Sus scrofa: one gene and its partners. The protein of the gene in region 1 interacts with the protein of each later gene in a pairwise test. Links are inferred from orthologs where the notes say so. Each region holds a gene or a part of one and is shown in the gene's direction. Other genes may lie near its edges.

Region 1 (4,266 bases):
CTCGGAAGCTCGGAGGGCTGATCCACCTGTGAGGAGTCCAAGGCATGATCATGCACATTTCTGAGACTAAGGATCACACATCACGATGCCACCCAGACCTTCTGCATAGAGGTCACCAAAGATACAAAGCCCAGGTAAACAGGTACCAGGAGAGCAGTGAGTCATTACGATCCCTGGAGAGCTGGGAGAGAATGCCAGTGTGACAGTCGAGCGGGCGTGCCCATCTTCAGCCCCGGGGTAAGGCAGACACACCCTCCACGTGAGGGGGCGATGGAGGAGGCCAAATGACAGAGAACTTTATGTTTCCATTTTTGGGCCCCACCCTAAAATATAAATTTTACTTAATCGCAAGCGAACCACCAGTGACAGCCCACACTCAAGGGAGGGGGCTCTTTCTTCAAGGCAGTGAGCAGCAGGAGGGGGTCACTGGGCCATCTGAGAAGTCTGCCAATCACAGTACCTGACAGCCTGGAGTTCAGCCACTGTGGCCTGTGCTGCATGAAGGCTGGCATGCAGCCTCGCCAGTGAACAAGGGCCTTTATTAACACCAGGGAACAGGGACCTCAAGGCTGGCAGCACGTTTCTCTGAGATCCTTCCCTTGAAGGGAGGCCCCCATTGCTGTCCCCTTGGGGACAACGCTTCCTGTGGGGATGCTGGGTTTCTGTTCACCTGACTGCTTTGGGACAACAGGCTCTGAAATCAGGTGAAGACTTCTGGAGGCTTCCTACTGCTTGCCCCAGAGGGCTTTCCTGAGGCCGTGTGCTCCGTGCTGCCCCTGGCTTGCCCACTGTCTCCCCTCCAGGTGATGAGGCTCTGGAGCCCTAGACCGGACCTTTGCACACCGGTCGGCCTCCGCCCTGGGAGTGGACAGCCGTGGGCTGGGCAGTCTCCTGTGGGGGCATCTCCGGGGTCAAAGCGGCTTCTCGCTGCACCAGCCACAGCCTCTCTGGGGAGCAGGGCCTTGACCAGGCAGGTTTTTTTTACCCCGAAGCCTTCAGCTCCCCCTTGGGCTACTGACTCTCCTTCCAGGGCCCAGCTCCTCTCCGAGGGGTCACACCTGGCCTCCCGCCCGGAGGGTCTTCTAGCTCCACTTCCCCCTTCCTCCTCTGCAGGGCTGTCCCAAGGACCTTCCCTCCTCCACGGCCGCTGGATGGGCAAGCGGCCCCGCGGGGGTCCCCGCTCCACACCCAGGGCTGACCCTCCCGGCCATCCCCCAGAATCCTTCCCGCGGGCGGGGCTCCCTCCCGGGGGCGGGGCTCCTTCCCGGACGTGCCGTGACGCTCACGCCCTCCCCGTCGCGCCCCGCCCCCTCTCCCAGGGGCTCTAGGAAGCCAGGCGGTGGGCACGGGGGGCGGGCCGGAGCCTCGTCCGGTCATTGGCGGAGGCCGCCGTCTTTGGTTGTCAATCCCGCCGGTCCGGCCCCGCCCCGCCGGCGGAGCGTCGGGGGACGCAGGGCCGCGGGGGCTGCCGGGACGGACCCAAGATGGCCGGGCGCCTCGGTTCCGCTCCCGCCTGCGGCCCCGAGTCCCATTCATTGCCGCGCTGCTGAGCGGAGCCCCGAGGCGGCCCGAGGGCTTCGGGGGCTGTCCCCGCGGGGCGAGAGGCCGCCATGGCGACCCTGGAAAAGCTGATGAAAGCTTTCGAGTCTCTCAAGTCCTTCCAGCAGCAGCAGCAGCAGCAGCAGCAGCAGCAGCAGCAGCAGCAGCAACAGCAGCCGCCGCCACCGCCGCCTCAGCCTCCTCAGCCGCCACCGCAGACGCAGCCGCCGCCTCAGCCGCCGCCGCCCCCGCCCCCGCCGCCGCCGCCGCCCGGCCCGGCAGTGGCCGAGGAGCCGCTGCACCGACCGTGAGTGCGGGCCCCCTGCAGACCCCGGCCCGCGGCGACGGGGCGACCCCGAGCCCCTCCCCGGCCCTGCGTGGGTCTCGGCCCCCCGCAGGGCGCGGAGCCTCGCCGGCCCCCCCCGGAGGCACCGGGGCGTCCCGGCCGCGAGGTTAGGGACGGAGCCGGGGCCGTGTTGGGAGCAGCGCTTGGCGGAGCGAGGCCGGCTCCGGTCCCTGCCCCGCCGGCCGCGAGGAGCGGGACCCGAGCCGGAGCGCCGCGGGGGAGCGGTGACGTCATGCCTCGGGGCGGGGGCGGCGGCGCGCGCGGCCCAATGGCGAGTCCTTTCCGAGGCCCTGGAGCAGCCTGTTCCCGCTGCCGCCGGGCATCCCCCCGAGTGCGGGGTCGCGGGCGGAGCCGCAGCGCGTTCGGCGTCGGCCAGAGCCGAGCTTGTCTGCGCTCCCGTTGGTCTGCAGGCTCTTGAGCGGGTTGTGGTGGCCAAGTTCGTGGTGCGCTGTTTAGGTGGTGATGAGTCACGAGGGAGAAACTAAAATTTGCCTGGAGTATTGGGTCGAGTTGACTGTGTGCAGTGCCTGTGTGCAGTGGGAACGAGAAGGACGTGTTGCTGAGGGAGAGGTTCACTGCCGGGGGCGAATGCGGTGCGGGAACGTGGCTGTCCGGGGACCCCGCAGGCGTCGCCTGTCGCTGACATCCGGTGCTGTTGGGAAGTAGGGGTCTCTTGCTTGTGCCAGGGAGAATTTTTGAGACAGAAAAAGAACATTTCAGGAGCTCCCGTCGTGGCGCAGTGGTTAACGAACCCGACTAGGAACCATGAGGTTGCGGGTTCGGTGCCTGCCCTTGCTCAGTGGGTTAACGATCCAGCGTTGCCGTGAGCTGTGGTGTAGGTTGCAGACGCGGTTCGGATCCCGCGTTGCTGTGGCTCTGGTGTAGGCCGGTGGCTACAGCTCCGATTGAACCCCTAGCCTGGGAACCTCCATATGCTGCGGGAGCGGCCAGAGAAATAGCAAAAAAAACCCCAAAACGAACATTTCATTTCATAGAGCACCTTCTGAGAGCACCCAAGCCCTTCCCCTGGAGTCCCGTGTGCCCAGTGGTTCAGCCGAGGCCGGGGCGTGCTCCGCGGCAGGCCAGCCTTTCACCTCGGGCCACTTCGTGTCTGAGCCGAAGGTGGACGGAAGGCATTTCATGAGGACGGCTTTCAAGAAGCAGCCCCTTTAAGGCGCTCACTCTGTTAAGGCTGATGCACTCTTAGCAATGTTTTCTTCTTTTCTTCTTTATGTTTCTGATAGGATCCTTGCTGTGTCAGAGATTTCGTTAGAAAATGAGAGTCGAGGAGTGATTTTGGCTTATCTGTTAGAATAAAATTTAGAAATAATTTTTTTCTTCTAGAAAAGGTCTTTTGAATACTCAGAGGGGAAAAAAATATTTTTTAACAGTTTGCTTTACCTCTGCAGCAAGTAATTTATAACCATAACCCATCGCAGACTTTCATGGTAGTGCATCTCCTGCAGGTGGATGTCATGAAGTTAACACGTGGTTGGGACCTTGTATAAACAGGGGAAGCACTAGTGGGGCTCTGTGTAGGGAGGAGGTTCTACTGCTGTCCCTGTCTGCTCGTGCAATCACTTGGTCAGCCTAAAAATATGCCTTCTGCTTCTTATGCTGATTTGACAGAACCTGAATTTGCTTATCTTCTTCAAAATACGGGTGTAAAGAGGTTTCCTTTTTTAAATTTTTAAAATAAAAAATTGTTTTAAAATTTATAATTATTATTATTTGTCTTTTTGTCTTTTCTAGGGCCGCTCCTGCAGCATATGGAGGTTCTCAGGCTAGGGGTCTAATCAGAGCTGTTGCCGCCGACCTACAACCACAGCCACAGCAACACCAGATCCTTAACCCACTGAATGAGGCCAGGGATCGAACCCGAAACCTCATGGTTCCTCATTGAATTCATTAACCACTGAGCCACGACAGGAATGCCTAAATTTTAAAAATTTTTTATTTATTTTGCTTTTTGGGGCTGCACCTGCAGCACATGGAAGTTCCCACGCTAGGGGTCCAATCAGAGCTACAGCTGGGAGCCTAAACCACAGCAATGCAGGATCCGAGCCACCTCTGGGAACTATACCACAGCTCATGGCAACTCTAGATCCTTAACCCACTGAGCAAGGCCCGCAACCTTATGGTTCCTAGTCGGATTCATTTCCGATGCGCCACCACAGCAACTTTCTGCTGCTGCGCCACGATGGGAACTTCCTTCTTAAGCTAGCTTGATGAAGTAGATTTTGTTTCACTGTTTTATTGTAAGGAAATGTATGATTGACTTATTTTAAACGGAACCTGATTTTTTTTTGCATGAATAACACAGTCACTTGATACAAATTCCAAAATTGCAAAAAGTAAGTAAAGTAGCTCCCATTCTTTTC
Region 2 (2,523 bases), on another chromosome or scaffold:
GAGGGTTTGGACCCTTCCCCGGGCGCCTGTCCAGGAATAACCCGATGGGGCGTCTCCCAGCGTTGGGGGGCAGCCGGAGGTCGAGTCGCTTGCTGCGAACGTGTGTCGCTCCGTCTGCACGTGTTGCCGGGCTCTTGCCCAGGTCTGGTGGCGGCCGACGCGTGTGCGGCCGGCTCCCCAGGGGTCCCCTGCGGGCCCCGCCTTTAGGCCCGTGCCCTCCATTTCTGTTCAGCACTCGAGCCGGTCACCTGTCCCCAGGACACAGTCGGCAGGCCGTGTGCTTCGGACCCAGACGCGCCTCCCTGGCAGGCAGCCCAGGCCGGGATTCTCCCCCAGGGTGGGCGGCTCCCGCCGCGGGCGCAGAGCCCAGTGCCCAGCGCCGGCCGGTGCCGCAGGGCCGTCTTCTCTCGCAGCATGTCGGTGCCTCAGGCCATGGAGTGGCTCATCGAGCATGCGGAAGACCCCACCATAGACACGCCGCTGCCGGGCCCGGCCTCGCCGGGAGAGGCGGCCGCTGCGGGGCCCAGCGCCGGGCCCAGCGCGGAGGAGGGGGACGAGGAGGCCCGGGACGAGCTGACGGAAATCTTCAAGAAGATCCGGAGGAAAAGGGAGTTTCGTGCCGACGCTCGGGTAGGTGCCCACGGCCCTGGCCCGGCTGCTTCTCCCCGGAGGCTGCGGCTCGGCCCGGCCCTGCAGAACGGCAGGCCACGCGGGGGTCGGGGGAGAGGGGCAGACGGGCCGGCGGCTGCAGGCGGCTCCCGCTTTCTGTGGAGGGCTGCGCTTCCTCTGAACCAGGAGTCCACAGGCCTGGCACCTTCTGGAAGCTCCGAGGCTCCCGTCTGTCTTCCGAGTGAGTGTCCCAGCGCCGAGCGGCTGGGCGGGGAGGCTGGTCAGGCTCGAGTCGAGGGCCCGAGGTCCGCGTGCCGCTGGCTGTGCCCCGCCAGCGGGCCCGAGCGAGCCCGCTCAGCGCCACCTCTCCTCTGCCGCCTCGTCGTCCCGCCCTCCTCTTCTCTGGGGTTTGAATTTCAGTTTCCTCTCGGATGGCTTCCTCCTTCGAGCAGGGTCTGTTGTTTTCCATCGGAGGCCCACCCGCTTCAGCTGGCAGGGCTCTGATTCGTCCATCCTCTTGATTCCGCGGCCACGGCATCCCAGCGTGGGCGGCGTCTGGGGGCCGTGTTTCCATGGGCGCCCCCACCCCCCACCCCGCAGGCCACCCTCTGGGGGCGAGTCAGAGCCCACCTGTGTGGGGCTGAGCCGGACCTCCGGCCAGGGGCCAGTTTTCCTGTGGCTCATCCCTGCCCTCCTCCAGGGGTGCAGACCCCTCTCGGGGGGCCCGGCGTCAGGCTCTGCGTGCCCCCAGGGCCTGCGTGCTGTGTGTGACCTCAGGCCCCAGTCCGCCCCATAACGCCCGGGCGGGGCCCCCACCCCCAGCACAGCCTCTGTGGGCCTGCAGTTCTTGTTCCTCTGGGAGTCTCCTCCTCTGGGTTCAGCTCTGCATTCACAAGTAGCTGGTTTACTTTGGTCCAGAGGGAAGTTTCTCATCGTCTCGCTGTCTTAGGGGCCAAGCTCGGCTCCAGCCTGGGAAGGGCAGCCGCTGCTGGCTGGGCCTACTGCTCTTCGGCCGGGCTCTGCGCTTCGCCCTGTGGGGACCCGCGTGCCTTATGGGGCGGCTGCTGGGCCGTTCATCGTCTGGTTGCCGATTTAGAGGCTCGAGAGAAGGGGCTTTTGTTCCTGTCCCTGTCCACAGGGATTGAGATGTGACTTTAGATCCTGGGGAGACCGGATGGGAGAGCACGGCTTGGACTTGAGATGCTCCCCTCGCCAGCTGTGGGCAGAGCCTGCGGATGCCAGGGCCCCATGTGGCAGCCCACGGGGGGTCTTTCCTGGACGGCTGGGAAGAGGGGTGGGGGAGCGTCCGCTCTCGCCCCCAGCAGTCCTGGGCCGAGACAGGAGTCAGGAGAGAGGAGGGTTTTTATTGGGACGAACAGGCAGGCCCTCCTGTCCTTGGATTTCGAAGTAGATTCCCGGAGCTCCCTGGTGGCTCAGCGGGTTAAGGTTCTGGTGTTGTCTCTGTTGTGGTGCTGGTTCAATCCCTGGCCCCGGAACGTCACACGACGCAGGCACAGCCAAAAAAGAAGTAAACTGCCGGCGGTTTTATAGCGTGGGCGTCAGAATCCTCCTGCGTGGGGCTCTCACCCCAGCGGTCTTTGACGCCCAGAGGGAGGCCATGGCTCGGGAAAGCAGACGAGGGGGGTTGTAAGCAGAAAGTCCTGACCGACCGTCGGACGCACCGCGTGCCGTCTGGCCCCGCTGAGCCGTCTTTCCCGGCCCCCGCCCGCAGCTGGCGGCGGCTGTGTTGGGCCCTCCGAGCAGCAGTCAGGCGGCCTGCAGGCTGGCCGCACACGTCCACCAAAGGGGGGTGAGGTCAGAGCACGGGGCTGTGCGGTGTCCACACGCCGACCCTGGGCTGGCAGCGCCCACAGCCCCCACTGTGAGCGGTCGAGGACAGAAGGTGGCAGAGGC
Region 3 (4,216 bases), on another chromosome or scaffold:
CTGTTGTGGTTTGAGATTTTAATACCTTAGTCTCAACTGTTGATAGAACAATGAGATAAAAATAAACCAACAGCAAACCAGTAAAGACGTAAGAAGATCTCAAACACACTATTAACCACCTTGACCTAATTGACGTTTTGGACCCTGCACCCAGTTTCAGAACACGCCTTCTTTTCACCAAGATAGACCTCCTGCTGGGCCATCCGGCAGGTCTCCCTACATTTAACAGGACTGCAGCCATACCAGGAAAACAAAAGACTTAGACTAAGTATGTTTCAGAAATAAACAGCAGAGGAAGGATAACAATGACTCTTTCGCAATTAAAGCACTTCTAAGTAATCCGTGGGTAAAAGAAGAAACCAGGAGTTCCTGCTGTGGCACACAGGGTTAAAGATCCAGCATTGCCTCAGCTGTGGCCCAGGTGGCATTGCAGCCCAGATGCATTCCCAAGCCTGGGAACTTCCATATGTCTCGGGTGCGGCCAAAAAAAAAGAAGAAGAAAACGCAGAGGGAAATAGAAAATATCTTGAATTAAGAGAAAATGAAAACCACAGTGTGTCAAAGTTTGACTGGCACCTAAAGCGGTGCCAAAGGAGGTGTGTCTCTGAAACCCTTTGAAAAGGGATGTTCGGCATTCAGTGCTTCCAGCCCTCTGGTTAGGACCGATCTTTCTCTTGCCCTGTGCTCGGTATATTTGCCTCGATAGCAGTAGCAACTGTTGGACGCACCCCTCTGCTCACCTATCGGTCCCTTCCTTTCTAAACCTTAAGAGCCCTTTAAGGACAAGTGCTGCTGTTGCTGGCACTGTTTTGTCTCTCATTTCTAGTACAATGCATGACACTTTGTGGGGTCTCTGTGAGCTCTGCACGGAAGCTCGCGAGTGGAGCGGATGCGCCCGAGCGCCGGGCGAGGGTTCACAGACTGAGCATCCGCAGCCCCACCTTAGAGCTGAGAAAGCAGCCGCCCGGCCGGGGTCGGTGGAGCCAGCGACCAACCCACGTTCCCGTTGGTCCTCAGACATTTTCCTTCCAGCCCTGAGGTGCTGACAGAAACCTCACCGGGGGTGGTGAGACCCGTCTTCCAGCCGGAGGGCAGGATTTATTCCCGAGTCAAACGGGAAGCCTCAACCGGCTGTCAAAAGCATTGAGTCGTCTGTGGGCTCTGCAGGTTGGACCAGGGGGCCCTTCCACAAAGGCCCTGGGAGGACAGGGCCGACGGCTCTCCTGCCGGGGGGCCCCCCGCCTTTCCCAGAGCCCACTCAGTCTGCAGAAAGTGCTGGAACTTGAGGCCTCAGGCGCGGCCCCACGGGGAGGGGGCGGGGGCCCTGCACCACGAGAGCCTCTCGTTTCTCTATTTTCTACCTCGGTTTCAGTTCTTAACTGGCGTTTGTTTCCCCTTTGTCTCTGGTTCATCTTCCTTTTCCTGTTTGGCTCTAAGCAGAGCCTCAGCGTCACGTCGCTGCCTCCCCGGGGTCCGTGGCCCTCTGGTCAGCGGGCCCAGTGGGATCCACGACCCACCGCCTCGCTGCTCCGTGCCGCAGCCACGCAGCCATGGCCACCGTGTGAGTATGGGGACCAGGGGACAGGGGCGTCCGGAGGAGACCTGGAGCCGTGATAGCAGAGAGCCGAAGGCCCTGGAAACCCTCCCAGACCCGCAGGTTGCACGCATGGGGAGACCAGCTGTCACACCGCAGGTCGTGCGGAGCCCGCGCGCGCTCATCTGCGGGTCTGGCCGCCACACCGGCCCGGGTCCCTCGATGGCTGTTGTCTTTAGGCACTTTGTGTGCGTTTGGAAAGCGCCGCCTCAGAAGTCCAGGTGGCGGAGGGGGCTCTGAACCATGTGAGGGGGTTGGCATTCGGCTCAGAGGTGCTCCGATGGGTCCTGGGTTCTCCTCTGGGAATGGCCTGAAGACACTCGAGCGGTTTTCTCTCAATACTGGGCAGGAGGGAAGAAGTGGGGTACGCTTTGTAGTGGAAACTTCATGGGCCGTAACAGCAGGACCCCAAACGTCTGCTTTAGACACCTGTGGCTGACTTTGGGCCACCGGTCACTTAGACTGTTGTGGTTTCACGTGCATGTGGGCACCAGCCTGTTTGCGTCCTGCACATGTAACTTCTAAAAGTGAGATTGCGTTTTAGACATGCCTCTCCCTGCCCTGCAGCTCCATGAAAGACAATGGGCCACAGAGCAGGCTTTCATCCCCTGGAATCGGGGGCATTTGCCTGGTCCACTCCTTGCAGCTTTGCGTCTTAGCACAGAATTGTCATCCTGCTCCTTAAAGTTACTTCCCAGTTCCCACACTGCAGTTTGACCCATTCCCTTATCTGATGCTTCCAGCCTTGTTGGGTGGGTCAGCTCAGGGAGGGGATACTGGTGTCCTGTGGAGGAGGAGGCCTGGCCTCTGACGGGCCATGGCGCTTGCTCAGGGTTGCTTAGGAGGAGAAGCTTCCAGGACATGGGCCAGGCTCTCTGGGAGTGCCTTGCAATGCCTTGTGAAAGTGGATGGTGCGGGGAGTAGGGCTGGTGCCATGCTCCTGGTCAGCGGGGGAGCTCTGGGGAGGGCAGTGCTCCCGCCTCAGAGCGCAGCCTTGGCCAGGTGCTGGAGTCACTGCCTCCAGGCCCAGCGCTCATAGAGCCAGGGCAGGTGCTGTGTTTACAGTTGGCTCTGTTCCTGCTCCCTTGCGGCCATGTTTCCCATCATTTTAGTCATTTTCCTTGAGCCTTAGAAGGTTTGTGGGTGGAGCTGTGGAAAACAAGACTTTCCATTTCAAAGGCCTGTTACCTTCCAAAGTGGGCAGGAACCAGTCATCTTCAGCTGAAAGTTACACCATGAAAAGCACAGTGTATCCTGTCAGCTGCCATTGCAGAAAATACCGTCAGAAGTAAGTGAGGAGGAAGCAAAGCAGGTGTCAAAAATCCTTGAATTAAAAGTGTGGAAATCTTGGAGAGCCCATTGTGGCTCAGTGGTTGGCGACCCCGACTCGCATCCATGAGGACACGGGTTCGATCCCTGGCCTCGCTCAGTGGGTTAAGGATCTGGTGTTGCCGTGATCTGTGGTATAGGTTGCATACGCAGCTTGGATCCCACGTTGCTGTGGCTCTGGAGTAGGCGGTCGGCTACAGCTCCGATTCGACCCCTGGCCTGGGAACCTCCGTATGCCACGGGTACGGCCCTAAAAAGACAAGAAAGACAAAAAAGAAAAAAGAAAAGGTATAGAAATCCTAGGCGTTTCCATATTGAAAGCAGCTGAGAGCCCATCCAGCGTGGACTGTGTAGGTTAGTGGTGCCTTAGGCATCGCACCCGCCACTTCAACCAAATTTACTCTCTTTTATCTTTTTTAAGCAGTCCTCAATATTTCTTTGAGGAAAAAAATTGTATTTTGCTGGTGATAATTTTGAAATCTGAAAATGATTTTTTTTAGTCCAGCTCTGGGGCACCCAGGTCGGGCCGTCGAGGCAGCGTTTGTCTTGAGCGAGTTGGCCCCGTCCAGCCACTGCGAAGCCGCCCTGCACAGCCGCTGTAAGGCCCGCAGCGTTTGCTTGGGCACATGCTTGCCCGGCTGAGCTGGAACAGCTGGATTCCTCAGTCGCCGTGGCGCCTGAGCCAGCGGGGTCCCCAAAGGCCTCAGGGTCCCCAAAGGCCTCGGCGCCCTGAGAGCACGTCAGCCCATCCTGGCCAGCCATCCGCCAGGAACTGCGTTCTGAGCGCCAGCGCGTACGGTGCACCCTCTCCGTGTGCTTGAAGGAGCGAGTGTTGCGTTTACTGTTCCCATTTCCCAGAGGAAGAAGCCCAGGCAGAGGCGGGAGGGAGACCCAGGAGGGAGCGCGGGTCCCCCAACGCAGACGCCCTTACACGGCGCTGGATAGGCCTCTGCTCGGAGCCGCAGCGAGCGGGAAGACGGCACTCCTGGAAACAGAGGGCCGCGGGTCCTGAGTCCCACGCAGTATAGACCATGGCGAGTGTAGACATGAAGAGCACCCCGAGTCGAGAAGGGGGGCTGTCAGGAAAGACTTCGGGGGATGTGGGACCTCAGGTGCACTCCGAAGGACAGGGGTGAGTTTAAGAGGAACCAAGAGGGACGAGACAGGCGTCCTGAAATTGTCCTGGGGCAGGGCGCGCCTTCTGCGAGTTGGAACAGAGACGCGAAAAGACAAAAAGACAACTAGACGAGCCGAGATGGGACCCGGCCGGTGAGTTCAGAGGTCAGGAGGCAG
Region 4 (4,012 bases), on another chromosome or scaffold:
ATCACTTCTGTTAAAGTCAGTCCATCTATTCCCGGCTTCCTTTTTTTTTTGGCTGCACCGTCAGCACATGGAAATTCTCGGGCCAGGGATCGAATCCCAGCGACAGCGTCATAGTTGCCACAGCGTCAGAATTTAAACCCACTGCGCCGGCTGAGGGACCGAACCCTCGCTGCCACAGAGACAAAGCCAGATCCTTAACCCGCTGTATCACAGCCGGAACTCCCCCGCCTCTTCCAAGTGGTCAAGAGTCCCAGTTCCCAGAATCCCCAGCGTTGCCTGCAAAATAATAGGGGAGAACTTTCTGGGGAGAAGTTCCGTTGAGTTTCATTGAGTACTCAAAAAGATCCAAGATGTGCTAAAGTTGAAGAATCAGAGGAACGACGTTGGAGCGTCAGCTGCATCAACACAGGCGTCATCAGACGGTATTCCTACGGGAGGACACAGCATTCGCCAGGGTCTGGAGGCGTGGGAGCTAGCGAGGCCGAGCTAGCCTGCTTCTCCCTAGGAACCACTAATCGCCTGATTCTCACCTTCAAAGTGCACTGGGTCCCCGCGCAAGGAGCTGATTTGTGAGCTCACGGCCAAGACGCATTCTGGGACTTGTAGTTTTTTTTAAGAGCCGAGGAACTCAGGCGTGACCATCACCACTGGGTCCACAAGGTGGCGCACGTTGGCGAGTACTTTGGGTCTACTCTTTGCTTCAGAAGACTAGCCGACCTACGACAATCACAAGTAAGCGCTTGTGATTCTTTGATGGACAGATACATCGTCCAATTAGCGTCAAGATTCGAGGTTAAATCCCACCCTCTTGATTTGTTGGCTGACGGAACGGAGTGATATTTATATAAACCAATGGGAAATTTTTAGGGAACTAGGTAGAGTCGAGTGACAGATCTGTGTTTAAGAATCGATCCTTAATATCACTGGCCAATTTTGTTGACTGGCCGGTCTCCCTGCCAATAAAACTGGCGGATGGGCCTGCCATCCGGGAACTCCCCCAATGGGCGGGGCTAACATGCCTTTTTCCGAAACACCGCCTCCCGGCCTGAACAACTCGCTTCACGCTGCTATTGGCTGTTCTACAATAGCGACAGTTCTCGCGTCCAATGAGACTGAGAGAAAGTCCCCGGGGGGGAAGGTTCATTCAGCTGTAGGTCCGTGCCTCCCTTTCACTGGCTTGGGTGCACGAGCGACAGCGCGGCTGACCAACCGGGGGTGGGGCGAGGGCTTTGGGCGCAGCCCCAGGGCCCCGGGCGGGAGGTCGCTTGGGTCGGGTGTCGCCTGAGAACCGGATGAGGCGGCGACCGTGAGGCCGAGCCGGGAGCGGGCGTCGCGCCGAGGCCCGGGCGGACGGGGAGCAACGGCCGTGGACGCCGCGGGGCCGCGTCGTTGAAGGCAGGGGCGGGTGGGGAGCGCGGGGCGCTCGGGCCGGGGCCACCGGCGCCATGGGCAACCGCGGGATGGAAGAACTGATCCCGCTGGTCAACAAGCTGCAGGATGCCTTCAGCTCCATCGGCCAGAGCTGCCACCTGGACCTGCCGCAGATTGCCGTGGTGGGCGGCCAGAGCGCCGGCAAGAGCTCAGTGCTCGAGAACTTCGTGGGCCGGTGAGCGAGCGTGGCGGCGACGGCGGGCGGGCGGCGGCCTAGGGCGCGGAGGGCGGACCGGGAATGGCGCGCCCTGCGCCGCCGGCGTAACTGCGGCGCTTGCGTGCCCGCGACGGGGACGGGGACAGGGAGGCGGGCCCTGTGGGACGCCCTGGGCGGAGGGCTCCTTGCAGGAGGTGGGGAGCCGGCCCAGGCTAAAGGGGTATCTCATGGGCGAGGGCCAGAAGGTGCGGTGGATTTCTGCCGATTCTCTGGTCCTCAGCTATAGTGGGTGAATTCTACCATATGGTTGCCTGTGTGTCAGGGGCAGGTTCCCCTTCCCTGTCTGTCCGAAACCTGTCACTTAGATATCCATTGGGCCGACCCCTGCGGTCTGACTGGCTGTTCATTTATCTGGAGCAGTTCCTGCCGTCTCGTTGGCTGTCTCTCTGTCCTGGATAGGCTTCTGCCACCACCACCATTTGGCTGTCCATCTGTCCAGTACCGCAGAGCAGCCCCCTGCTGCCTGGCCAGCTATCTAGGATGACCTGTCCTGTCCGGCTGCCCATCCGTGCACTTCACAGACTTTAACACTTATCTCTTCCTCTCTTGGGTTACCTCCAGCTGGCCTCTGCTGTCTGACTGGCTGGCTGACCCTTGGGGACCCTGTTGCCTGGCTCTCCTGGGCTGACTCTAAAGCTTAGTGCCTGGTGAACGCTGGCTCCTCTTTTCCAAGTGGAACCTTTGTCTGTCTGTCCTACTATCTGACCTTCTCCTAATCTGCCTGTTTGTGCCATAGCGGACTGACTGTCTGACCCCACCACTGTGGCAGGGGGTGGTGGAGGATGCAGAGAGAAAGGGAGCTGAAGGGTGAGACTGGAACTCCTCTCAATTGGAAGTAGAACCCTCGGGGGAATCTTTCTCCAGGACTCTTTCCTGGTCCATGTCAGGGTACCTCCATGGCCCTAGAACATAGGGGCCAGCCCCCCAAGCTAAAGCCTGCAAATGTGGGGGGCCCTTCCTGGATCCTGGGAAGGAACTTCTTACCTGATCAGGCAAGATCTGGAATACAGCCTTTTTTGGATAGTTCTGAGAAGTCTCAGTTTGGCTCTCTGTCCTGTGGACATATTCCATTCTGTGGGCTGTTTCCTAGGATTCAGGAAGCTAATGGATGTAATTAGGTTCTTCTCTCTCCCTTCCCCCACTTCTTGCCCTTCTGCCTCCCAGATGGGTGGCCACTTCTCTATTTGTCTAGGAAGGACTCCATTTGTGACTGGGGCTGCCAAATGATAATATCATAGTCATTATTATCGTGATTATTGTTGTTATCAGTGTTAAGAGGTAACGTTCATCCTACAGGCCCCAAGCCAAGTTCTTTCTTGTTCCACTCAGAAGACAGCCTGTTTACCCAAGACCACCAGGCAGGAGGAGCTCAGTGGAGCCCAGCTTTGCTCCTGCCTTCCCAGAGGCCTGGGGGTTTTGCTCCCAGCAGCGTGAATTTCCTCCTTTGCTGCTTTGTCTCTGGCGAACTGCCTTCTGTCTACTGTGGCGGAAAGGCGTGGACTTGGGATCAACCAGGCCTGGGCTGAGCCTTGGGCTGGGCTATGGGCCCCCTGCTTGGCCATCTTCCTGCCTGGCCTGCCCAGGCTTCCAGTGGGCATCCGCAAAGCTCTGTCCATTTCATTTGCCTTGTGATCTTGCACAGATTGTTTTACCTCTCTGAGCCTCAGCTGCCCCTCCTAAAAATGGGGTGATGGACCCTCAACAAGACAGTTGCGAGGATGCAGTTACATGATGTGTTGAAAGTGCTTACTTAGCATGGTGCCTGGCACACAGTAGGTCTGTATGAATGGAGTTATTATTCACCAGGCTGATTCCTTTCATATTGACAACAAAAGCTAGTTAGAATTAAAGTGCTCTAGGAGCTCCCACTCTGACGCAGTGGAATTGGTGGCATCTTAGGAGCAATGGGACAAGGGTTCAATCCCCCACCTGGCACAGTGTGTTAAAGGCTCTGGCATAGCTGCAGCTGCAGCTTAGGTCTCCACTGCAGCTCGGATCTAATCCCTGGCCTGGGAGCTCCATATGCTGCGGGGCAGCCAAAATGAAAAAAAAAAAAAAAGAAAGTGCTCTAAAGTTAGACACTGGGGAGTTCCTGTTGTGGCGCAGCGGAAACGAATCCGACTAGTAACCATGAGATTGTGGGTTTGATCCCTGGCCTCACTCACTGGGTTAAGGATCTGGTGCGTTGCCATGAGCTGTGGTGTAGGTCACAGACACGACTCGGATCCTGTGTTGCTGTGGCTGTGGTGTAGGCCAGCAGCTGTAACTCTGACTCCACTCATAGCCTGGAAACCTCCATATGCCATAGGTGCGGCCCTTAAAGAAAAAATTAATAAGTTACACACTGGACTTCATTTGAACATT
Region 5 (3,933 bases), on another chromosome or scaffold:
CCCTTGGGTGACCCTGAGCAAACCATTCAATCTCGCCGGTTCTGATTTTCCCATGAGCATGCCCAAGATCTGACATTCTGTGATGCTGGGCACTTGAAGTACAAACTGTAAAATGCTGTCCAAGGGTAACACACTCTTCTATGCTGAGAGGAGCAGGGAAGCAGGCGGTGGGTACTGACAGGTGGTCTCCCTGATCCTAGGTGAACCTGCCGCTGCTCACCCTGAGCCGGCCGCTGCTATTGGGCATCGCCCGCAATGAGACCAGTGCCGGCCGTGCCAGTGCCGAGTTCTACGTCCAGTGAGTGAGCTCTGGGGGACAGGGTCCTGGGTCCTGGGGTAGGTGGGTGGTTAAGGGGCATGGCTGAGGCAGCTGAGGGACCCTCCAGGAGCTAAGCACTCACCAGGCCACTCTCATGTCCCTGTCCAGGTGCAGCCTGTCTTCTGAGCAGGTGAGGAAGCACTACATGAGTGGGGGACCTGAGGCCCACGAATCCACGGGAATTATCTTTGTGGAGACACAGGTTCGAAGTGGCAAAGTGTGTCTTCTTTGGACAAAGAGCTGGGCTCAGGGCTTACAGAAGCCTGGTGATGCATGTCTGTCTCCCAGGGCTGGGTCAGAGAGGGCTCCTGAATCTCTCAGGGCTTCCCTCCGGAGCCACAAGGCCCCACTAGGATTCCCCCAGCCCAAGGAGAGAGGCCACTAACCTGTTCAGCCCCCTCGACATGTCTCCTTAGAGGGCTCCGAGGCTCAGAATCTGTGGGCACAGCTCCCGCAAGAAACCTGAGGTCCGGATGTCTGGGTCTCACTGTCTCCCCACAGAAGGTGCGGAGGTTGCAGGAGACTGAAATGTGGTCCCAGCTCTGCCCATCGGCCAAAGGCGCCATCTTCCTCTACAGTCGGGTCCAGGGAAACTCCACCTGAGTTGCCCTGAGTCCCCAGCCCTGTCACCACCGCTCGGAAGACAATAAAGGACTTTATTCTTGGATTCCACTGCCATCTGCTGTTTCCGTGGGACAGGGAGGGGCTGCTGGGAGAGCCCTAGGTGGCCGACAGAGACAAGCGAAGGGCCTGGGGTGGGGGGTGGGGTGGTAAGGCCCAGCCTCGGTTTACCCCTCTGAAGCTGAGCGCCTTGCTCCCTTGCCAGGCTCTGATGAGGTTCCAGGCCGACTATGGTGTGGAAACTGCTTTGTGAAACGCGTCTCGCTGCAGAGCGGAGTAACAGGCATATCCGAGGGAGGGACAAGGCAACTGCGCCGGGCCTAGGGTCCAGGGTCGAGGGTCAGGGTCGGTCGGCAGGCTTCCCAAGTGGGTGCTGGCGCCCTCCTGCCAAGACCACAGGAGCCCGCCTCTATGGGTGGGTCCGAGGCATCAAAAGCCAGTCAGCGGGAGGGGGCGGGCCTTCGCCGCACGTCCTCACCTTCAGACGAGTGGGCGTGGCCTTAGCATCTAAGCCAATGAGAGTGAGGAGGCCGGGCCTGAATGGGAGCAGGAAATGGCGACGGCCGCGGAGTCCGTGAGTGCAGCAGGGGCGGGGTTTGGTGTGGCTCCTCCTGCACCCCCCCCAGGCTCCCAGGTGGGAAGGGGTCGCTGCATCCGGGGCCGGTTATCCAGACCCTGAGACAAGACTGGAGAAAGGCCCCGGACGCCCTGGTCAGAGGCGGGGACAGGCGGGTCTGGTCTAGAGCAAGGAGGTTCCATTTCCCTCTGCGTCCCCTGGGCCGCTTCAGTTTTCCTTCGCGTCTAAACGGGATCGGGCCCCTTCCCTCTGCCCACCACCCCCTCCTCAGTGGTTGAAGTCTGGTCCCATCCCACTCCTCTTTGTGGCCTCCTTTCACCAGCTGCCCGCCTGCCGCCATGCTGCCCCTGCGCCTGTGCCGGCTGTGGCCCCGCAACCCTCCCACCCGGTCCTTCGCTGCGGCCGCCGGGCAGCGGTGAGTTGGGCGCCTGGGTCATTCAGAAGGTTTCTGCTGCGGGCTTGCCCAGTTCTAGACCCTACACTAGGTTCTGGGATAGTGGTGATCTCTTACTCTGGGTCAGGCGCCTTACAGCCTTGTCTCCGGTCACCCTCACCTTCATTGCTGAGGACATAGGATCAGAGATTAAGGGATGACCCCCAAGGCCATAGAGTTAAGTGGCAGATTTGGAATTTGATCCCGAGCCAAACCCTATGTGCTGTCCACCACGCTGGTGGTTGTCAAGCACCCCTGTACAAAACCCACGGGGGTGGGATTGGGGATGGGGGGAGCTCACAAAAATGAAGATTCCTGGGCCCTGCTCTGGAGATTCTGATTGGCGGGAATGAAGGAGGACTCAGCAAACCACTTTTTTCTTCTTTCTTTTTAGGGCCACAGCTGCGGCATAGGGAGGTTCTTCCTAGACTAGGGGTCAAATAAATGGGAGCTACAGCACATGGGGCCTACACCACAGCCACAGCAACACCAGATCCGAGCCGCATCTGCGACCTGTTCCTCAGCTTGCAGCAATGCCGGATCCTTGACCCACTGAGCAAGGCCAGGGATTGAACCTGCATCCTCACGTACAATACTTGGGTTCTTAATCAGCTGAGCCACAACAGGAACTCCAAGAATCTATTTTTTAAACATGCTTTTCAGGGGTTTCTGATGCAAAGGGTCCGAAGACTACACTTTGAGACATTCTGATGTGGTCCATACCTGGAACACTCAAAGAGGGAGGGATGATTTAGAGATCTCCCTTGGCCCCTGCCTCAGCCCCCTGGCACCTGGATGCTGAGTTGAAGGGCGTGGCCCACAGGGGCTGGGAGGGGCAGGAAAGGGGTATCCTGTGTTTTCCTCATCCCCTGCATGTTTGGGCCTCTTTCCACAGGTCTGGCCCCAGTAACTACTATGAACTGTTGGGGGTGCATCCTGGTGCCAGTGCTGAAGAAGTTAAACGAGCTTTCTTCTCCAAGTCCAAAGAGGTACCAGTGGTCTTAAATGGAGAGGGGGGAGAACGTGTGAGCCACATGGGGGAGGCTCCAAATTCTCAGGAATGGAGCTGAGAGGCTCCTTCTGGCTGTGCATATTCCCTCAGGATTTCACAGGGAATGGGAGGTGCCCCAGGGGCAGGGATCTGGCCAGGGGGGAAGAAAGGTTGGGAGCAGGAGCCAAGGGTCCTGTCTGATGGTCTGGGCTTGGTTCTCTTGACCCGCCTGTTCTTGGGACCAGGGTATATGGTGAGAGCCAGGCAGCAGGTGTGGAGGGTGTCAACAGGGGAGGGGGCAGGAGTCTTTGCTTCTAGACTCTACTCTTCTGGAGGCACAGGCAGCCCTGAGAGTGAAGGTCACTGCCCAGGCAGGGCCTTAGGAATAACATGAGCCCAGGTGGGTGGACATGATCAGGATAGGTCCTGGGAGGGGGCATGGAAAGGGAGATGAGGGGAGTCCTACCCCACCCCAGCTGCACCCTGACCGGGACCCCGGGAACCCAGCCCTGCACAGCCGCTTTGTGGAGCTGAGTGAAGCGTACCAAGTGCTCAGCCGTGAGGAGAGCCGCCGTAGCTATGACCACCAGCTTCGTTCAGCGACTTCCCCAAAGTCTCCAGGAACCGCAGCCTATCCCAGGTCTGCTCATCGGGCGCACAGGTACAGTAGTCCTGCCCCCAGCTTGCCACGGCCAAGTCTCACCAGGAGACTCTTCCCTACATTCTCCCTTCTCCCTCCCAACAGCTCCTGGGAGGACCCCAGTGCACGATACTGGGCCCAGTTTCCTGGTGTCAGGCCTCAGGGACCAGAGTCAAGGCGGCAGCAGCAGAAACACAACCAGCGAACGCTGGGGTACTGCCTCTTGATCATGCTGGCAGGCATGTGCCTGCACTATGTTGCCTTCAGGTGCGCTTCCCCCTGGGCTGATGGGCAGAGGGCAGGAGGGTGGGCAAAGCCCAGTGTCAGGCATCCACCCACACTGTCCCTGTGG
Region 6 (3,997 bases), on another chromosome or scaffold:
GTCTCTTTCCCTGTCCCAGCACAAAGCCTAAAATTTATTATGCCATTGGTGAATGTGAGCCCACGACTGAACAGCGAAAAACACCTCAAGGGGGTGGGGGGAGAAGCGAGGGACTTACCGCTCTCGACCACAAGAGGGCGCGCGCTGGGTTCCCACGAGAGAGCCGGTTGGCTGAGGAAGGGCGGGCTCTCCGCCTCCAGCACCAATCATCTCCCAGGACCTTTCTCTAAGAACGCTCAGAGCGAAAAAGGTTGCTTTCTTAGGTCCAAAGAGAAGAGAATAAAAAAATAAAAGTGTTTTGGGAGTTTCCCTCGTGGCTCAGCGGAAACGAATCTTACTAGCATCCATGAGGATGCAGGTTCGATCCCTGGCCTCGTTCAGTGGGTTAAGGGTCCGGCGTTGCCATGAGCTGTGGTGTAGGTCGCAGACGCGGCTCGGATCCCGAGTTGCTGTGGCTCTGGCGTAGGCCGGCAGCTACAGCTCCGATTTGACCCCTAGCCTGGGAATCTCCATGTGCCGCTAGTGCGGCCCTAAAAAGACAAAAAAAAAAAAAAAAAGTTTTTTGAAAACTTCATTGTAGCACTGATGGTAAGGGTTGCCTCTGCCGCCTCCAGGTGTTAATTAGGAGGTTGACTGACTTTTTTAACTGGAAAAGCAACATGCCGCCTTTTCATGAGCTGCTTGGATCTTTGTGATACGAGGGACTGACGTGGGCTCGCATCCAGATCCCGAAGTTAGCAAACATTCAATCTGAGTCACTGTCATCTGAATTGGGAACCCACTAGACCCCCTAAGGGAGAGCAGATGGGAATCAAGATAGGTGAATCGGGACACTTTGGGAGGAAATGGGGTGCGCTGACAGCTACCGGAACAATCTCAGAGACGAGACGTGAAGGAGTCTGAGGAGGGAGCGGGGAAAGGAAGGAGTAGAATAGGTATGGGAATAACGAGCCTCTGGGAAGGGAGGGGTTAACCCCTATGGGCGGGGAGGAGGAAGGGCGGGGTGACACCCGGGAGGCGGGCTCTCCGCCCGGCCTCCCGAAAACAACAGGCCGCTCCGGGCAAACACGGAGTTAAGGGGGCGGGCCCAGGGGGCAGCCACGTGCCGGGGCGAGAGGCAATTGGCTCTCCGGAAGTTGTTTGTGAGCGGCCATTGGCGACGTCGGGGCGCCGCGACGAGCCGATTGGCCGGACTCGGAGCCCCGCCAGGGCGGTGGTGGGGAGGAGGCGGCCTGGGCGGCGCGGGACCCGAGTGGGCCAAGCCGAGCGCCAACGCTGCCCGCGCGGGGTGCGGAGCCCGAGCCCGAGCCCGAGCCCGAGGCGCGGCCGCCGCTGCCATGCGCTGGGTCCGCGCGCTACTGAAGAATGCGTCCCTGGCAGGGGCGCCCAAGTACATCGAGCACTTCAGCAAGTTCTCCCCGTCCCCGTTGTCCATGAAGCAGTTTCTGGACTTCGGTACGAGGGGGCGGGAGGCGGCTGGCCACCGGGACCTGCGGGGGAGGGGGGGCTGGGGGGGAGGAAGGCGTCCTGGCCGTGAAGGGTTAACACGGAGGTTGAGAGAGACCGAGTGACGGGAAGGGTTGGCTTGCAGGGGTCCAGGCAGGAGAGGGTTAACGGAGAGGCCGGAGGCAGCCGGCCTTAAAAGGGTTAGGGCACCCCGGCTGGAGAGACTAGGCAGTGGGAAGTGGGGGCGCTGAGGAGGGATCGGAGGTATCTTCTCGGGCTTTGTGAGGGGTCTTGGTGAGGAAGGGGCAGTGAGGCGGTGATGTTAGGGCTGGAAGGCACGAAAGGGTTCCTGGGGTTGTTCTGGCGATTCTAAGAGTGAGGGTCAGAGAAGAAATGGGCCGGGATGCTGGTGGCTGTAAGGAGGCAGGGCTGGGAGGCACAGCCATCTGGAAGGAGACCTGTGCAGGGCAGACGTGGAGGGGTCAGTTGGGGGCAGGGGCTCTCTCAGATGAGTCAACAGGAGGGACACCCTGACCAGTACACCTCCGCCCACTGAAGGAGCTGCCCTCCAGCTGTCCCAGTGGGCAAGGACACTTGAAGATCAAATCTGCTGTGGCCTGGCCATCTGTCTCCAGCTGGGCAGGGGTCTGGGGCGCTGTGAGGTGCAGTCGGGTGCCTTGTACCCACCCTTGGCTGCCCCTGGGTTCTTGTGCCAGGGTGGCCTAACACCCCCCACCACCACCACCATTCTGGGGGTGGCTCTGGAGCCAGAGCAAGGCTGTGCCAACGTGGTGACTGAAACAGGCATTGTGTGGTCCCTGTCTGTTCCCACCGTGTTTCCATGGTGCCAGCTGGGGATTAGAAGGGGGGGTGCCCCTTCTCTCAAGAGTTGAGGAGAGACAGTGCCTGGCTCAGGTTACAGCTGCGTCACTGATGGCAGGCGGGGGAAGGTGGCAGTCAGGACACGGGGCACCTGTTCCCCAAGACCTGTCTGCCTGAGCTCCTCCCGTGTAGGAAAGCCTCCAGAGCCCCCTCTCAACCCCCTGCAGCTGCCCAGCCCGGCCTGGACCCCAGTTACAGAACTGTCACAGCTGGGAAGGGCTCAGGGTAGAGTCTGGTTCCCTCGGGGTACAGCGGGGGAAGCAGACCTTCAGAAGGATGGGGTACAGCAGGGGAAGCAGACCTTCAGAAGCATGGTGACGTGCCTTGGGTGACAGAGTTGGAAGCAGAAGCTGGACTTAGAACCCAGGTCTCCTGACTCTAGGCCATGGCCCCATCCAGTCCTCCACCACCTCTTCATCTTGAAGCCAGACCAAAGTATTGGGCCCTGGTTCTCAACCTTGTCCACCTCACAGGTGGGTGGGCATTAATGTAGGGGCAGCCCTACAATGGGCATAAAGAGGTGACACCAGGACCCTGCAGCTGCTGTGGTCCCAGCATAGCTCCCCTTAGCCAGGGGCGGGAGGGTGCTCATCTCAAGGTAGGGATAGATTTTCCAGGCTCCTCTGCCCACTTGGATCCACCCCCCTCAAAGTGGGTTGTGTGTCTGCTGGGAGGGAAAGAAAGAGAAGAAGCTGGGATGGAGGTCACAGTGAGCCCAGATGGCCCTGTCCCCCGGGGTTGGGTTCAGCTGCAGGTGGAGAGAGCATGCAGCCTCCCTAAGGATGAGGCTGGGTGGTGTGGCGGTCACTGCAGAGGTCAGGAGGGGCTCCTTGTCCTGTGCCTTGGCTTCTTCTGAACCCTCAGGAAATGAAGGCTTTAGAGATCTGACCCCCAAGAAACCCCCTGGCTCCTGTGCATGGTTCATGACTCTATGGGGCTCACCCTTCCCTCTCCCACCAGGATCCAGCAATGCCTGTGAGAAAACCTCGTTCACCTTCCTCAGGCAGGAGCTGCCAGTGCGCCTGGCCAACATCATGAAAGAGATCAACCTGCTTCCCGACCGGGTGCTGAGCACACCCTCGGTGCAGCTGGTGCAGAGCTGGTGAGACCCCTGGCTAGGTCCCTGCACCTCCCGCTCCATTGCCAGATGCCCTCTGCCCACCGCAGCCTTGAGAGAGATGGGGACCGAGGGGAGGCACCAGGGCTCCAAGAGGGCAGGAGTTCCCTAGGCCAGAGCAGGGACTAGGACCAAGCTCCTAGCCTCCATGTCTAGGGAACAGCCCTCCACCTTCCGCCCTACAGTCTCTGGAAGCATGGGATCCACGTAGGAAATGATCCTTTTCACAGCCCCAAACCCCAAAGCAGGCTAATGTCAGCATTTGGCCCCAACCCGGTTCTGAAAACATAGCACCTGTTGGGTAATACCCATCTGGGGCACCTTGGTGGGAAACAGAAATAGGGAGAAGCAGATCTTCAAATTATGTAATCCGCACAAGTCAGCCTATTTGGGAGGATGGAAAACATGCAAATAGACACAGGGATGGCACCATACCAACCCCAGAGAGCTTCGGACGGGCAAAGACCAAAGTTTATTGCAGAGCAGCCATAGCAGAGAGAAATCCTCAGTAAAGTTCAGGCGAAACCTCTGTCCAGGAGTTCCCGTTGTGGC
Region 7 (2,992 bases), on another chromosome or scaffold:
GTATGGTACCAACTCTACTATTCAAACCTGGACTGGATTGCATGGCCAACATACAGTAATACACAGCATTACCAAAATAAAAATTATAAATAATGAAAGATGATATTCTAATTAAAAACACCAAAGAAACTGGCTGCCAAATATTAAAATATATAAGGAACTTAAGCAAGCTGGTACAGAAGATCACCACACCAAAACCAAGACTCTTTCCACACAAAACAAATAACTAATTAGAATATGTAATAGAAAATAACACCATTCAAAATAGCATTGATATCCCAAATACACCTAAAAAGAGAACTAACAAACTTGATCTTTATGGAAGCAAATAGAAAAAAAAAAATTACTGATGCACTAAGGTAAAAGAAGACTCAAATAGAACAATATTATGTTTATTTATGGTGAGTAGAATATTGTACAGATGTCAATTCTTCTTAAATTATTTACGGGCTTATGCCTTACCTGATAGGTTTCGCACTGAATCAGCAAGGAAGTAACCCAGCACCTACAAGGCATCAAGGTAAGACACTGAGTGAGGACTGAGTGAAGACTGAGTGAGGAACCCCCCAAATTAAGGGGCCACAAAGGGGCCCCTACTGTCAGTCCCATTAGACTCAGGTGCCCCCCTACTTCCTACCTGGGATTCTGAGTGAAATGAGAACCTTGGTCAGAGGCCAGCTGACTTATCTCAGGAGAGGAAGAAGTCCCAGGCCCTGTCAGGAGTCACGAAAAACTCCTTCCAGAGTTCTGCATGATTCCTCAGTCTCCCAGAACCGAGATAGAACTCCCCATAACCCCACCCCTGCTATAACTCCTGCTGGGAGGATGGGGTGGGCGTGGCAAGAAGTGCTCACCCTGATTTCTGCCACACCAGCCATGGAAACTTAGGCCTAGGTCTGAGGAGTGTGGTCCCATATCAGCAGAGGGAGGAGTTCCAGGATTGGACTGATGTCAAGGTGAGTAATCTTTGTTTGAACTGAAGGGACAGACTCCTCCCAGCACTGAGGTGTCCTCGCAAAGTCCCGCCATATTCTGACATGTTCCATCCCCACCCTTAACCCCAAGGGGCTCAAACAGGGCTGTTAGGCCCAATGCCCCTCCCCAACTCTCAGTGGGAGAATTTGTGGTGTGAGAAGCCCTGGTCTGAAGGGGCAGCCTCAAGTCAAGAGCAGGAGGAGTTAAAAGACTGGTCAGGAGCCAAGTTTAGTATACTGGGTTAGAACTGAGATCACAAGCCTCTGCAGATCAGAGGAGGTCCACAGAGTCTCACCACCCTTGTTTTGTGGTTTCCTAAAACAGTACCCCTAAGAAAATCAGCAAAGGCAGCTTTTCTTGGCAGCCAAGGTGGAAGAATCTCCCTGCTGAGGCTGTGCACACCATTTCTTTCTCTGTCTTCTAGGGCGACCTCTCCAAAAACCTAATTGCTTGAACAACTGTGCCTACTGTCCCTGACCAAAGTCATCATGCCTCGAGGACAGAAGAGTAAGCTCCGAGCCCGTGAGAAACGCCGCCAGGCCCGTGCTGAGACCCAGGGTCTGGAAGATGCTCAGGCTACTGCCGCAGCAGCAGGAGAGTCCCTGTCCCTGGTCCATGCTCTCACTGAGGACAGACCTCAGAATTTATCTGCTGCTGAGACACCTAGCACTCCTGAGGCGCCACAGGGAACCACCGATGCTAGTGCAGCTGTTTCATGCACCAATTCGGATGAAGGTACCAGCAGCCAAAAGGAGGAAAGCTCAAAATCCTCCAGGGGCACTGAGGGCTCACGCAGAGATCCTTTAAACAAGAAGGTGGTTTTGTTGGTACAGTTCCTGTTGCAAAAGTATCAAAAAAAAGAGCCAATTACGAAGGCAGACATGCTGAAGTTTGTTATTAAAAAGTACAAATATCATTTCAATGAGATCCTCAAGAGAGCCTCTGAGCACATGGAGCTGGCCTTTGGTGTTGATTTGAAGGAAGTGGATCCTACCAGGCACTGCTATGCCCTTGTCAGCAAACTAGACCTCACCTTTGATGGAACGATGAATGAAGAAGAGAACATGCCCAAGACTGGCCTTCTAATGATTGTACTGGGTGTGATCTTCATGAATGGCAAATGTGCCCCTGAAGAGGAGATCTGGGAAGTGCTGAATATGATGGGTGTATATGCTGAGAGGAAGCACTTCCTCTATGGGGATCCCAAGAAGGTTATCACTGAAGATTTGGTGCAGCTAAAGTACCTGGAGTACCGTCAGGTTCCTGACAGTGATCCTCCTCGATATGAGTTCCTATGGGGCCCAAGGGCACATGCTGAAACCAGCAAGATGAAAGTCCTGGAGTTTTTAGCCAAGGTTCATGATACTGTGCCCAGTGCATTCCCATCCTGGTACGAAGAGGCTCTGAGAGATGAGGAAGAAAGAGCCCAAGCCAGAGCTGCAGCCAGGGCTCGACTTGCGGCCATGGCCAGTGTGCGCTCCAGGGCCACAGCCAGCAACCTCTCCCATGCTAAGTGAAGTCCGAGGACAGTTCTTCACTTTTGGTTGAAAAGGTGTGGCAATGTTCTAATGGTGGAGGGCTAGGGTGGGACTTGAGAAGTATATCATCGTTGTATTCCTGTTATATATTGCTAACTTGGAATTTTACCTTTCTTTTTCTTTCTTTAGGTTGTATTTCGAATGATGAAATCTAAGAAATATTGTTTTCCTTGTGGAAAAAGAGCAGTAACATTTTAAGTGGGGGATGACCAGTGGGTCTGGAAAGAACACAGCGTATATCATCTTTGTGTTTCTGTTCTCTATGGTAAACTTATAGTTTAATCTTTTGCCTTCCTTTTCTTGTCCCTTCTTTTTTCTTTCCTCCCTCCCTCCTTCTCTCCCTTCCTTCCTGTCACTTTTTCTTTCCTTTGGTTATATTTTAAATGTTGTTTCTTTAATAGAAGGTAGAAATAATTGCAGAATCTAAATTTATTAATTATTTCAGTTACATATTTATTAGATTTAATTTAATAGATTTA

What was found.
Region 2: the proteins of HTT (region 1) and UBAC1 interact in binary tests that used the Homo sapiens proteins (3 or more experiments, as listed by UniProt). The link is inferred for Sus scrofa from reciprocal best matches to the Homo sapiens genes HTT and UBAC1.
Region 3: the proteins of HTT (region 1) and EVL interact in binary tests that used the Homo sapiens proteins (3 or more experiments, as listed by UniProt). The link is inferred for Sus scrofa from reciprocal best matches to the Homo sapiens genes HTT and EVL.
Region 4: the proteins of HTT (region 1) and DNM2 interact in binary tests that used the Homo sapiens proteins (3 or more experiments, as listed by UniProt). The link is inferred for Sus scrofa from reciprocal best matches to the Homo sapiens genes HTT and DNM2.
Region 5: the proteins of HTT (region 1) and DNAJC4 interact in binary tests that used the Homo sapiens proteins (3 or more experiments, as listed by UniProt). The link is inferred for Sus scrofa from reciprocal best matches to the Homo sapiens genes HTT and DNAJC4.
Region 6: the proteins of HTT (region 1) and PDK2 interact in binary tests that used the Homo sapiens proteins (3 or more experiments, as listed by UniProt). The link is inferred for Sus scrofa from reciprocal best matches to the Homo sapiens genes HTT and PDK2.
Region 7: the proteins of HTT (region 1) and melanoma-associated antigen B18-like interact in binary tests that used the Homo sapiens proteins (3 or more experiments, as listed by UniProt). The link is inferred for Sus scrofa from reciprocal best matches to the Homo sapiens genes HTT and MAGEB18.

The regions. Positions count from the first base shown.
Region 1 is NC_010450.4:1,808,302-1,812,567, forward strand, and holds the start of HTT (huntingtin), read left to right. Parts: upstream 1-1,466; 5' UTR 1,467-1,610; coding exon 1,611-1,846; intron 1,847-4,266.
Region 2 is NW_018084833.1:1,667,334-1,669,856, forward strand, and holds part of UBAC1 (ubiquitin-associated domain-containing protein 1), read left to right. Parts: intron 1-413; coding exon 414-630; intron 631-2,523.
Region 3 is NC_010449.5:120,986,835-120,991,050, forward strand, and holds the start of EVL (ena/VASP-like protein), read left to right. Parts: upstream 1-1,416; 5' UTR 1,417-1,550; coding exon 1,551-1,561; intron 1,562-4,216. UniProt on the Homo sapiens protein: Ena/VASP proteins are actin-associated proteins involved in a range of processes dependent on cytoskeleton remodeling and cell polarity such as axon guidance and lamellipodial and filopodial dynamics in migrating cells.
Region 4 is NC_010444.4:69,472,800-69,476,811, forward strand, and holds the start of DNM2 (dynamin-2), read left to right. Parts: upstream 1-1,212; 5' UTR 1,213-1,445; coding exon 1,446-1,606; intron 1,607-4,012. UniProt on the Homo sapiens protein: Catalyzes the hydrolysis of GTP and utilizes this energy to mediate vesicle scission at plasma membrane during endocytosis and filament remodeling at many actin structures during organization of the actin cytoskeleton.
Region 5 is NC_010444.4:7,878,109-7,882,041, reverse strand, and holds the start of DNAJC4 (dnaJ homolog subfamily C member 4), read left to right. Parts: upstream 1-1,133; 5' UTR 1,134-1,170; coding exon 1,171-1,514; intron 1,515-1,543; exon of another isoform or gene 1,544-1,651; intron 1,652-1,839; coding exon 1,840-1,932; intron 1,933-2,845; coding exon 2,846-2,939; intron 2,940-3,417; coding exon 3,418-3,602; intron 3,603-3,686; coding exon 3,687-3,848; intron 3,849-3,933. Other genes in the region: NUDT22 (nucleoside diphosphate-linked moiety X motif 22), read left to right, coding at 201-298, 428-704.
Region 6 is NC_010454.4:26,273,365-26,277,361, forward strand, and holds the start of PDK2 (pyruvate dehydrogenase kinase, isozyme 2), read left to right. Parts: upstream 1-1,197; 5' UTR 1,198-1,337; coding exon 1,338-1,455; intron 1,456-1,625; exon of another isoform or gene 1,626-2,713; coding exon of another isoform or gene 2,714-2,801; intron 2,802-3,288; coding exon 3,289-3,430; intron 3,431-3,997. UniProt on the Homo sapiens protein: Kinase that plays a key role in the regulation of glucose and fatty acid metabolism and homeostasis via phosphorylation of the pyruvate dehydrogenase subunits PDHA1 and PDHA2.
Region 7 is NC_010461.5:22,081,549-22,084,540, forward strand, and holds melanoma-associated antigen B18-like, read left to right. Parts: upstream 1-1,368; 5' UTR 1,369-1,463; coding exon 1,464-2,492; downstream 2,493-2,992. UniProt on the Homo sapiens protein: May enhance ubiquitin ligase activity of RING-type zinc finger-containing E3 ubiquitin-protein ligases. Proposed to act through recruitment and/or stabilization of the Ubl-conjugating enzyme (E2) at the E3:substrate complex.